3 linked regions of the Macaca fascicularis genome follow. The protein of the gene in region 2 interacts with the protein of the main gene of each other region in a biochemical or structural test. Links are inferred from orthologs where the notes say so. Each region holds a gene or a part of one and is shown on either strand. Other genes may lie near its edges.

The links.
Region 1: the proteins of H3-4 (region 2) and CBX1 interact in a test that uses a peptide from one of them, tested with the Homo sapiens proteins (3 studies listed by BioGRID). The link is inferred for Macaca fascicularis from reciprocal best matches to the Homo sapiens genes H3-4 and CBX1.
Region 3: the proteins of H3-4 (region 2) and TAF3 form a complex in vitro, tested with the Homo sapiens proteins (2 studies listed by BioGRID, with this or other methods). The link is inferred for Macaca fascicularis from reciprocal best matches to the Homo sapiens genes H3-4 and TAF3.

The regions. Positions count from the first base shown.
Region 1 is NC_088390.1:58,656,805-58,660,375, reverse strand, and holds part of CBX1 (chromobox protein homolog 1), read right to left. Parts: intron 3,351-3,571; coding exon 3,173-3,350; intron 2,615-3,172; exon of another isoform or gene 1,955-2,614; coding exon 1,860-1,954; exon of another isoform or gene 1,628-1,859; intron 946-1,627; exon of another isoform or gene 873-945; intron 1-872. UniProt on the Homo sapiens protein: Component of heterochromatin. Recognizes and binds histone H3 tails methylated at 'Lys-9', leading to epigenetic repression. Interaction with lamin B receptor (LBR) can contribute to the association of the heterochromatin with the inner nuclear membrane.
Region 2 is NC_088375.1:86,334,835-86,339,281, forward strand, and holds H3-4 (histone H3.1t), read right to left. Parts: upstream 2,922-4,447; 5' UTR 1,770-2,921; coding exon 1,359-1,769; 3' UTR 379-1,358; downstream 1-378. UniProt on the Homo sapiens protein: Core component of nucleosome. Nucleosomes wrap and compact DNA into chromatin, limiting DNA accessibility to the cellular machineries which require DNA as a template.
Region 3 is NC_088383.1:8,691,267-8,694,913, forward strand, and holds part of TAF3 (transcription initiation factor TFIID subunit 3), read left to right. Parts: intron 1-3,236; coding exon 3,237-3,479; intron 3,480-3,647. UniProt on the Homo sapiens protein: The TFIID basal transcription factor complex plays a major role in the initiation of RNA polymerase II (Pol II)-dependent transcription.

The DNA.
Region 1 (3,571 bases), on a different chromosome or scaffold from region 2:
CGAGACTCTGTCTCATTTAAAAAAAAAAACAAAAAAAACCCCAAAAACTATTGTCTTCAGGTTACTAGGCATGTCCTAGACAGAAGCAGTAGCATAAGGCAAGTAGGAGACACCTGATGAGATCTCTGACAAAGCACCACCCCAAATCTCCAAAACCTCAACAACAGGAAACCAGAGCCACACAGTCCCATGGAGCAGAAGAGTAAGCTGATAACCTATGTTTTTGAACAATGGACCCAAGAGAATGGGAGGGAAATGGGAATCTGAAGCATGCTGCCATTTGCTAACAGCTGAACAACACGCATTGAGTTAAATTCAGTCATTTCACTCCCTAGAAATATTTACTACTTTTGGAAATATACAGAAATCTCTATTCTCCAGTAAAATAACTTTTTAAAATGTACTTGGTCTTATAGTCAAATCCAGTTTTAACCTGTAGACAGCAGTGGGTCGGCCAGGTGCAGTGGTTCACCTGAAGTCAGGAGTTTGAGACCAGCCTGGCCAACACGGTGAAACCCCATCTCTACTAATAATACAAAAATCAGCCAGGCGTAGTAGTGCGTGCCTATAATCCCAGCTACTTGAGAGGCTGAGGCAGGAGAATCGTTGAACTCGGGGGGCGGAGGTTGCAGTGAGCTGTGATCGCTCCACTGCACTCCAGCCTGGGCGAAAGAGCGAGACTCTGTCTCAAAAAAAAAAAAAAGATAGTAGTAAGTCAACCAAAGGAGTGCAAATCTTAAGCAATATGGAGATACTACTGTAACTCACACTGGTCACATGCAGAAAAAGTATATTCTAGCTAGACTGAGTAACTCATGGTGTAACTTCTCCCACCCCTTAAGCAGCACCTTAAAAATGAACTTTTCTCCTATAGGTTAACAATAAATCAGCTAAAAGAGGGGCAGCTTCAGTAACCGCCTAAGGAATACATAGGAAGAGAATAAGGTAGGTAGTTGTGACTCTGGCTTTCAGTGGTGCTAAAGTTAGGCCCCTCCAGCCATACTGTAAAATATTAGTACAGACACAAGTTTCAGAGTAAGTTCTGGACTGACAAAAGGACAAAGCTCCACAGACATTGTATGTGTGTGTGTGTATTTTAAAGGACAAAGTTTGTAGAATGCTGCCTTCATTGGCAATGGCTTAGAATTATTCCTTCCTAAACTTTAAATACAATGATTGCTATCCACTTTGTGGGGAGAATGAGCAAGAAATAGGAAGAATGGCCTTCTTTTGACAGAGTAGGAAAATTACAGAGATTGCTGGGATAACTATCTTCATTAGGCTGTTTCATGGAGTGTTACTATCACTGGAATTTATACTCATAATGGAAAAAAGCAGGCTTGCTCTATGCTTAATAGCAGTTAAGGAGCCTTGCTGACCCCTGCTGGCTGATCCTGTAATTGTAGAATCTGCACAAATTGAAAAGGATCCAACAATTAAGGACAAAGGGAAGAACTACAAAATCTTTCCTAACCCTGAGAATTTAGCAGAGTTTCTGATTCTGGGGCCAGCCTCATCTTTATTAAGGAGGTGGTAGAAAGAGAGGGTGGTCCAATCACATTTCATTTTTTCCCCTTTTATTTACCGTAATGAAATGTAATTCCTTCCCACACTCTTTCCACTCTAGATTGTCTCCCACCTCCTAAAAATATGGGCAAAGACCTAAGATTCCTAAGGGCTCCTACCTGTAACTCATGAGTCCAGGTTGGCAGTCAGGCCGAGGGTCACTATCGAAGGACTATGCCATCTTAATTTCACACTTGGGTGATTGGAATTTCGAAGGTCCAGCTCTTTTCCTCTGGCATGAAACCAATGGGAGAAGAAAAAAAACAACCACACAAAGCCACTGGCCGACTCACCATTTCATCAGGAACATGAGCTCTCCACTGGAGTCTGTAGCTCCAATAATCCGCTCCGGCTCCAAACCTCGAGCAAAGCCTCGTGGCTTTTCTGACTGTAAAAACAAGATTGGTAGAACAATTTTATCTATATGGGACTATTATCTAGACTTGGAACTATTCCTGTGTCTCTGATTAATGTAATCATAAACTCTTCTCTTTTTTTTTTGAGACGGAATCTCTGTTGCCCAGGATGGAGTGCAGTGGTGCGATCTCAGCTCACTGCAGCCTCTGCCTCCTGGGTTCAAGTAATTCTCCTGCCTCAGCCTCCTGAGGAGCTGGGACCACAGGCGCATGCCACCACACCTGGCTAATTTTTTGTATTTTTAGTAGAGACGGGGATTCACCATTTAGTCAGGATGGTCTTAATCTCCTGACCTTGTGATTCGCCCGCCTCAGCCTCCCAAGGGGCTGGGATTATAGGTGTGAGCCACTGTGCCCAGCCCAAACACAAACTTTTTTGCCAATATTTCACCAATACCTTGGCTCAAAGTAAGAGAGCTGTTAGAATTCTTTGGAGTGATTATTCATCAATGTCTGAAGCGCATGAGATTTTCCCATATGTGAAAAGGGACATACAGCCCAAGCAAAATCAATGTTTACACCTATCTCTTCACTCTCAAAAAACAACTTACTTTAAGGTACGTACTGATTAAGTCAAAATAGCTACCTCACACCTTTAATGATTAAACATTGAAAACCGTTTTTTACAAGAATGAATTCACTTGCCCTTTTATCTGTCCCCAGCAAGTATCCCATTTACTGCTCCTGTACCATGGATAAAAAGTAAGAGACTGGCTGGGCGCAGTGGCTCAAGCCTGTAATCCCAGCACTTTGGGAGGCCGAGACAGGCGGATCATGAGGTCAGGAGATCGAGACCATCCTGGCGAACACGGTGAAACCCCGTCTCTACTAAAAAGTACAAAAAAACTAGCTGGGCGAGGTGGCGGGCGCCTGTAGTCCCAGCTACTCGGGAGGCTGAGGCAGGAGAATGGCGTAAACCCAGGAGGTGGAGCTTGCAGTGAGCTGAGATCCGGCCACTGCACTCCAGCCTGGGCGACAGAGCGAGACTCCGTCTCAAACAAACAAACAAACAAAAAAGTAAGAGATCATGTGGCTTCATGAGAGTACACTCTCACTTTGTAGGCATTAGCCTACCTAAGATGTCAGAACTAAGAAGAGATGGCTGCTAATATCTGGGAAGAAGTAAAACAAAACTACTTTGACAGTGGTTTGAATTGTGGGCCAGTAAAAATTCTTACTTCTATCCTTACCTCTTCTTTCTTCTTCTTTGGTTTGCTCTCCTCTCCCTTATCTTCAGAATCAGAATCAGCTTTGCGCTTGCCTCCCTCTGATTTATCTGTCTCATGTGCTGTTTTCTGTGACTGCAGAAACTCAGCAATGAGGTCGGGGCAATCCAGGTTTTCTTCTGGCTCCCATGTGTTGTCCTCACTGAAACCAGAGGGCACAGCAAGTCACACTTTCACTCAAAATAAGTATAATCATACTAAGGATAATCGTAAGAGGACAAGAGCTCAGACGTCCATGGAAAAGCTGAAATTTCTTGGGGAATGGGGAGGCTTTTTAGTATAAATAGAAAGCTAAGAAACTGGCTTCCTTCAAAGGCAAATGACTTTTATTTGTCAATTTAAATCGGTCTATAGCCACACACA
Region 2 (4,447 bases):
AAGCTGACTTCCAGGGCAGAGTGCCCTCTTTGAACTTTAGGCTGGGGTTTCCCAGTATTGATTTCACTTAGGCTGAATTAACAATGCACATGCCTGGCTGCGCTTCTCACACGCAACTAGCTAGTCATCTACCCTAACAGAAGATAGGGTGAATTAACAACATACATGACTAGCCAGCCTTTTAACTGAATGGGAGATTGGGTATGTTAACACATACAATGACGTGGACTTCTAACTGGAGATGGGCCAACATCACAGCTACATATGTGTGTGCACATGGGCACACGTGCACGTGCGCACATACACACACACACACCCCTAGCCAGCCTTCTAACCTAATGGGAGATAGCCCAAGTTAACAAGATATACAACTAGCCAGCTTTCTAAATTAACAGGAGGTAGGCTGAGTTAACACACACAAGTAGCTGGACTTTGTTTTTTTTTTTTTTTTTTTTGGTTTTGAGACTGAGTCTCGCTCTGTTGCCCATGCTGGAGTGCAGTGGCATGATCTTGGCTCACTGCAACGTCTGTCTCCTGGGTTCAAGCAGTTCTCCTGCCTCAGCCTCCCAAGTAGCTGGGATTACGGGCATGTGCCACCACACCTGGCTAATTTTTGTCTTTTTAGTAGAGATGGGGTTTCACCATGTTGGCCAGGCAGGTCTGGAACTCCTGACCTCAGGTGATCCACCCGCCTTGGCCTCCCAAAGTGCTGGGATTACAGACCTGAGCTGCCACGCTGGTGAAGTAGCTGGACTTCTAACTGAAAATAGGCCAAGATAACACATACTACTTGCTGGCCTTAACAGGCTGTCTAGGTAGGAGACTAGCTGGACTGGTAACCTCACTGGAAAGAAGCTGTGTGTACACACACACACACACACACGCAGGACTTGTAACAGTTTGAAAGAGGCTGAGCTGAGAACACACAAGACCAGCCAGCCTTCCAACCTAACTGTAGATAGGCTGAGTTGACACAACTAGCTGGGGTTGCTTACCTAACTGGAGATAGGCCAGTTACGCTACCCTCAACACCCCGTCCCCAAACAGACCAACCATGATTCTTATCTAAAGGGATAGACCAAGTTAGCACCACACACGACTAGCTGGACTTGTAACTGGAGACAGGCTGGGAGGTAACGCGCATGAGTAGCTGGCCTCCTAACTGGACAGGGTGAACACAGGATTCGCCAGCCTCCCACCCTAATCAGAATTAGGTAAGCCAGCACCGGCCAGCGGAAGGAACCCCCAAAACCCAAGAGCCTGGCTTGCTACAGCAACTCTTCCGACCAGGTGGGTGGCTCTTAAAAGAGCCTTTGGGGTGAACGTTGCGCAACCTCTCAGGTGGCGAGATGGCCCTCCTAGGCCCGCTCCCCACGGATACGGCGTGCCAGCTGGATGTCCTTGGGCATGATGGTGACCCGTTTGGCGTGGATGGCACACAGGTTGGTGTCCTCGAACAGCCCAACCAGGTAAGACTCGCACGCCTCCTGCAGCGCCATCACGGCCGAGCTCTGGAAGCGCAGGTCGGTCTTAAAGTCCTGAGCGATCTCGCGCACCAGCCGCTGGAAGGGCAGCTTGCGGATTAGCAGCTCAGTGGACTTCTGGTAGCGGCGGATCTCGCGAAGCGCCACTGTGCCAGGTCGGTAGCGGTGCGGCTTCTTCACGCCGCCAGTGGCGGGTGCGCTCTTGCGAGCCACCTTAGTGGCCAGCTGCTTGCGTGGCGCCTTGCCACCCGTCGACTTGCGCGCAGTCTGCTTGGTTCGGGCCATGAATTTGAAACTGTTGTCTCTGCCGTGTCCTCTGACCAGACCTCAGCTGATTGCCCGCTTTTATAGAGCTTGCCGCGTTTTCATTGGCTGGCCTCAGGTGGCGTGATGGCCCCCTACTCTCTGATTGGTCCACAGGGCACGCCACTCGGCCGCCTCTCCCTTATATTAGTGCTTGTTGGTCGTGGCCACCAGAGCTAGCACCAGCATTGTGAAGGGTTGATGCGGGTAGGCCACGGCGGTGGAGATCATCTCTCTCCAGCACAAGCTTCCTCGTGTCTCCTCAGCAATCCTCTTCTCCCTTCCTCATGACTTGGGTGGGAAGAGCCTTCCGAAAGCCAGCATGTGGCATTCCACTTTTTTTAAAAATTAATTTTTAAAAAATTTTTTGAGATGGAGTTTAACTCTTGTTGCCCAGGCTGGAGTGCAATGGCGCGATCTCTGCTCACTGCAACCTCTACCTCCCAGGTTCAAGCGATTCTTCTGCCTCAGCCTACCAAGTAACTGGGATTACAGGGATTACAGGTATCCACCACAAAGAGATGGGTTTTCACCATATTGGCCAGGCTGGTCTCAAACTCCTGACCTCAGGTGATCCACCTGCCTCGGCCTCCCAAAGTGCTGGGATTACAGGCATGAGCCACCAGGCCCAGCTGGCATTCCACTTTTTTTTTTTTTTTTTGAGACGGAGTCTCGCTCTGTTACCCAGGCTGGAGTGCAGTGGCGCAATCCCGGCTCACTGCAAGCTCCGCCTCCAGGGTTCAGGCAATTCTCCTGCCTCAGCCTCCCAAATAGCTGGGACTACAGGCGCCCACCACCACACCCGGCTAATTTTGTTTTGTATTTTTAGTAGAGACAGGGTTTCACCATGTTAGCCAGGATGATCTCGATCTCCTGACCTCGTGATCCACCTGCCTCAGCCTCCCAAAATGCTGGGATTACAGGCGTGAGCCACCGCGCCCAGCCGGCATTCCACTTTTACACAGTGATACAGCTCTGGGATCCAACCAGAGTTAAAGGAATCTTCCACTTTTTATGACCTGCAAAGAACTCCCTTTGCTGTATGGCTCAGATGAGCCTTAGGATGCTGAAGAAGGTAAAGATATGCCTTTCTGGCATATTAACTCTTTTGAGATAAAGGCACTTAAAAAAAAAAAAAAATAGAGGCAGGTGTAGGAAGATCATTCTGAGTTTCTTGTTGTTTCTTAAAGGCAAGAAATAGAATTCCCCTATGAAAGATGTTCTTATAGTAAAAGGAAGGGAACGTTCTTATCATCAAGGACCAGAAGGTGGAAGCTTCCAAATCTCCTCCAACTCTGAAGCTGAAATTTGATCCCTAAAGTTGGAGCCGGGGCTCAGTGGGAGGTGTGTGGGTCCTGGAGGTGTCACCCTCTGAATAGAGTCCTGCCCTCCTTTAGGGTGAGTTCTCACTCTGTTGGTTCCCTGAAGAGCTGGTTGTTGAAAAGAGCCTGGCACTCCCCTCCCCTCTCTTTCTGGCTTCCTCTCTTGTGCAGTCCTGTGACCTCTGCACACACATGGGTTCCCCTTCACCTTCCACCATAAGCAGAAGCAGCCAGAGGCCCTCACCAGAAGCAGAGGTGGGCCCTATACTTGCTTCCTTCCATTCTCCCTCCCTCCCTTCCTTTCTCTCTCCCTCCCTCCCTTCTTCGCTCCCTTTCTTCCTTCCTTCCTTTCCTTTCTTTTTATCTTCTTCCCTCCCCTCCCCTCCTCTCCTTCTTTTTTCAGTCTTGCTCTGTTGCCCAGGCCCCTCCTACCTCAGCCTCCCAAGTAGCTGGGACCACATCCAGCTAATTTTTAAATTTTTTGGAGAGATGGGCTGTCATTATGTTGACCAAGCTGGTCTTGAATTCCTGAGTTCAACTGATCCCCCGACTTTGGCCTCCCAAAGTGCTAGGATTACAGGCTTGAGCCACCATGCTGGGCCACCGTGCTTTTTTTGTTTTTTTGACCTGAGTCTCACCCTGTTGCCCAGGCTGGAGTGCAGTGGTGTGATCTCAGCCCACTGCAACGTCCGCCTCCCGGGAAGTTCAAGCAACTCTCCTGCCTCAGCCTCCCGAGTAGCTGGGATTACAGGTGTGAGCCACTGCACCCAGCCACCGTGCTTCTTGTACAGCCTGGGAAACCATAAGCCAATACCTTTTTTTTTTTTTTCCAATAAATCATCCAGTCTCAGGTATTCCTTTAACAACACAAAACAGACTAAGACAGAAGCCAAGAGAAATCTATACAAACAAACTTTATTAAACTAACCCTTATCTTCCTAGTTGTTGCCACAGTTACTACTCTTTGTTCAACCTAGTGTGTAAGCATTTTGACCTAGTCATTTCTTCACCCCATTGACTATCCTCACCCAAGCCCCGTGGCCTTATCAAATCTCACAACTTACTAGTGTTTGTCCACCTCTGTATATAAGTGACCCTAACTGCATCTTTGCATCTTCATTTCCTTATGAGGGCTCCTGTGTCACATTAAATTTGTATTAAATAACTGTATGTTTTTCTCCTGCTCATCTCTCTAATGTCAGTCTAATTCTTGGGCCCAGCCTGGACCCTAAGATAAGGGAGGTAGAATTCTGCCTCCCCTACAGCGCCCCTTGTTGATGCATGACAGGCCCACTGTCTTGGTCTGTTTTGCATTGCTGTAAAGGAATACCAGAGGCT
Region 3 (3,647 bases), on a different chromosome or scaffold from region 2:
TGCCAGAATGTCAGCAAAAACAAACTGATGGTGTTTGTTTCTTCTAAAATAAATGTTCTCAAAGCAAGTATTAGAAGTTACCATTAATTCAAATAATGAACAAATAATGAACTTCAGAATTGCCTTAGGGTGACAATTTCTCCAAGCATTCAAGGGCAGATGTCTCTATCTGTGTCACATTATATATTAAATGTGTTGGCATGCGCTGAAAGCAGGTGCTAAATCTTTCAGACTGACTCTTCAACACTAGTACTATAATATTTTTTGTATGGTACAGGGAGTAAATGTAAAAGGAGTAAGAGGAGAGATGGTTGTAGGCTATGGATTCTGGGGTAGGATAACTTCACAGAAAAGATAAGATTTGAGTTGAGCTATGAAGTATGGTTGTATAAAGGTATAGAGTATTCCGGGTTAGAGAATCACATAAACTAAGCTGTCCAGGTGAGATTAAGCATAATAAAAGTACCAGTAAGGTGTTCAGCTCCCTATGCAGCTAGTTCATTCCAAGGGTGTCTGAGGAAAATGTTCAACACAGTGAAATCAGGTTATGGAGGGACTTAAAAACTAGACAAAAGAATTAAAACATGTAGTAGAAAACATTGCATACTTCTAAGTAGGGGGACAATATGATTAAAGTGGTATTTTAAGAAAATTGTACTGACAGTGATGTGCACAAGACATTGAAGTGGGCAGAACTTGAGACTATACTGAGACAGGGAAGAATAGAGAGAATAGAGAGAATAGGAAGAATAGAGAGTAAGAATAGAGAGAAAGGAAAAAAATCTGAAATCATGGTTAAAAAAAAAAAAAAAAGGTGCCCGGGGATGGGGAGGGGGACAGGGTTAGAAACAGTTCCAGGTTTTGGTTTGAGGCTGCAAAGCATATGGAGGAATTTAAGATGATTATATTTTTTAGACTGAGAGAGTAATAATAGCTTTAATAGGAATAGAAGAGTTGAAATGCCTGTTTACGTTCAGTAAGAAGAGTATTCGTTTTATTTGTTTTCTCTTTTTTATACATCATTAGAAGTATACATTAGAAGTAACCCATGCTTATAGAAAAAAAAAATCAAAGACTGCAGAAGTATGTAGAGTTAAAAGTCAGTCTCCTGCTTCCACCACAGCCCTCCCCTCTACTGCAGCTTCCATCCCCTTCAACTGTTAACCATTGGCTGAATATCCTTCTAGACGTTTCTGTATGCATTACCACACATGCGTCCAATTCTTTTTTTTTTTTTTTTTTTTTTTTTTTTGAGACGGAGTCTCTCGCTCTGTAGCCCAGGCTGGAGTGCAGTGGCCGGATCTCAGCTCACTGCAAGCTCCGCCTCCCGGGTTCACGCCATTCTCCGGCCTCAGCCTCCAGAGTAGCTGGGACTACAGGCGCCCGCCACCTCGCCCGGCTAGTTTTTTGTATTTCTTTAGTAGAGACGGGGTTTCACCGTGTTCGCCAGGATGGTCTCGATCTCCTGACCTTGTGATCCGCCCGTCTCGGCCTCCCAAAGTGCTGGGATTACAGGCTTGAGCCACCGCGCCCGGCCTAACATGCGTCCAATTCTAGCAAGATTTGGATTCTTGTTCATTTTACAGGGTGATTTAATTTCAGACATACTGAGTTTGAAGTGATCAAATTTCAAGATTTCAGTTAAAAAGTCAGGATTTCAGTTAAATCCTTTAGGCTATTGAAAATCGGAAACTGGAATTTTCATAGACATTTTTAAAGATGTAGAGACCTTAAGCTCTGCTAAGGATAGGCATAAGAAAAACTTGCTTTTGTAAAGAAAAAAACTCACTATATCTAACTTTTTATCTTTTTATCTCTGTTTTATGTTGTGTTTTCTAATTACATTTGAAATTTTATAGGTAAATTACCTTTATGACTGGGCATGGTGGTGGTGCACTGGTAGTCCCAGCTACTCGGAAGGCTAAGGTGGGAGGACGGCTTGAGCCTGGGAAGTTAAGGTTGTAGTGAGCCATGATTGCCCTACTGCACTCCAGCCTGGGCAGCAGAGTGAGACCCTGTCTCAAAAAACAAACAAAAACCAAACTTTTATGATCTGAGCCTTCTTTGTAAATATTCTTAGATTTTAAAAATTCACTTAATGGTATAATTCATTCAGTAGGTATTTATTGAGTGCCAGCTATTGTTATTGAGTTCCAGCCACTGTTTAAAATTCCGCAGATGCATCAGGGAACAACAGAGGAAATGTAACAAACATTGATTTTGTCAGCACAGCACACTACTTATTTGATGATTTAAAAAAAAAAGGCCAGGCACATTGGCTCATTCCTGTTATCCCACCACTTTGCGAGGCAGAAGCAGGAGGATTGCTTGAGGCCAGGAGTTCAAAACCAGCCTGAGCAACATAGCAAGAACTCATCTCTACAAAAAAAAAAATAATAATAATAATAATAATAACTAGCAAGGCATGGTGGCATGTGCTTATAGTCCCAGCTACTCGGGAGACTGAGAGGGGAAGATTGCTTGAGCCTAGGAGTTTGAGGCAGCAAGGAGCTGTGATCATACTACGGCACTCCAGCCTGGGCAACAAGCAAGATGCCATCTCCTTTTTTTTTTTCCCCCCTGAAACGGAATCTTGCTCTGTTGCCCAGGCTAGAGTGTAGTGCCGTGATCTCGGCTCACTGCAACCTCCGCCTACCAGGTTCGAGCAGTTCTCCTGCCTCAGCCCCCTGAGTAGCTGGGATTACAGGCGTGCGCCACCATGCCCGGCTAATTTTTTTATTTTTAGTAGAGACAGTTTCACCATGTTGGCCAGGCTGGTCTCGAACTCCTGACCTTGTGATCTGCCCGCCTCAGCCTCTCAGTGCTGGGATTACAGGTGTGAGCCACCGCGCCCAGCCAAGATGCCATCTAAAAAAAAAAGACAAAACACTATTATTATTATTTCTGGGGCATTTTCTGTGTGTCAGGCACTGTTGCAGATGCTTTTGATCATCTGTAAACTACTTTGAAATTTGTTCTATAATATATAAGCTGATCATGAGTGTGATTTTTCTGTGGTGTTCTGGCTAGTTGTCTGATCATATTTAAGCTTGACCTTAATAATCAGCTTAAACATGATTCTGTGATGTTCTATTTAAAATATTAAATTCTTTCCAATAACTAGGTTAAAATGTTTGATTCTGAGCTGCATATTTACTTACTACCTTTTTTAATATTTAAAAATATATTCACGGGATTTCTTCAAATAATTTGATTTGCTTTTGGCTTTGTTTCAGATGGCCGAACAGACCCAGTTTTGGATGATGTTGGTGAAGCTTTCCAGCTGATGGGGGTTAGTCTACATGAACTAGAAGACTATATTCACAACATTGAACCTGTCACCTTCCCACACCAAATTCCGTCATTTCCCGTTAGCAAGAACAATGTACTTCAGTTTCCTCAACCTGGAAGTAAAGATGCAGAGGAAAGAAAAGAATACATTCCTGATTACCTGCCACCCATTGTGTCTTCTCAAGAAGGTTTGTGAGTGTTTCTTCTTCATTTGTTAGGGACTATTTTAATGGATTTTTGATCCTCTTAGCTTTCCATGCTATGCCAACTTTATACATTCTGGAAACACAATAGAAACATGTACTGTTATTTACAAATTATTCGGACCCTTAAACCAACAAACTTGCAACTGACAT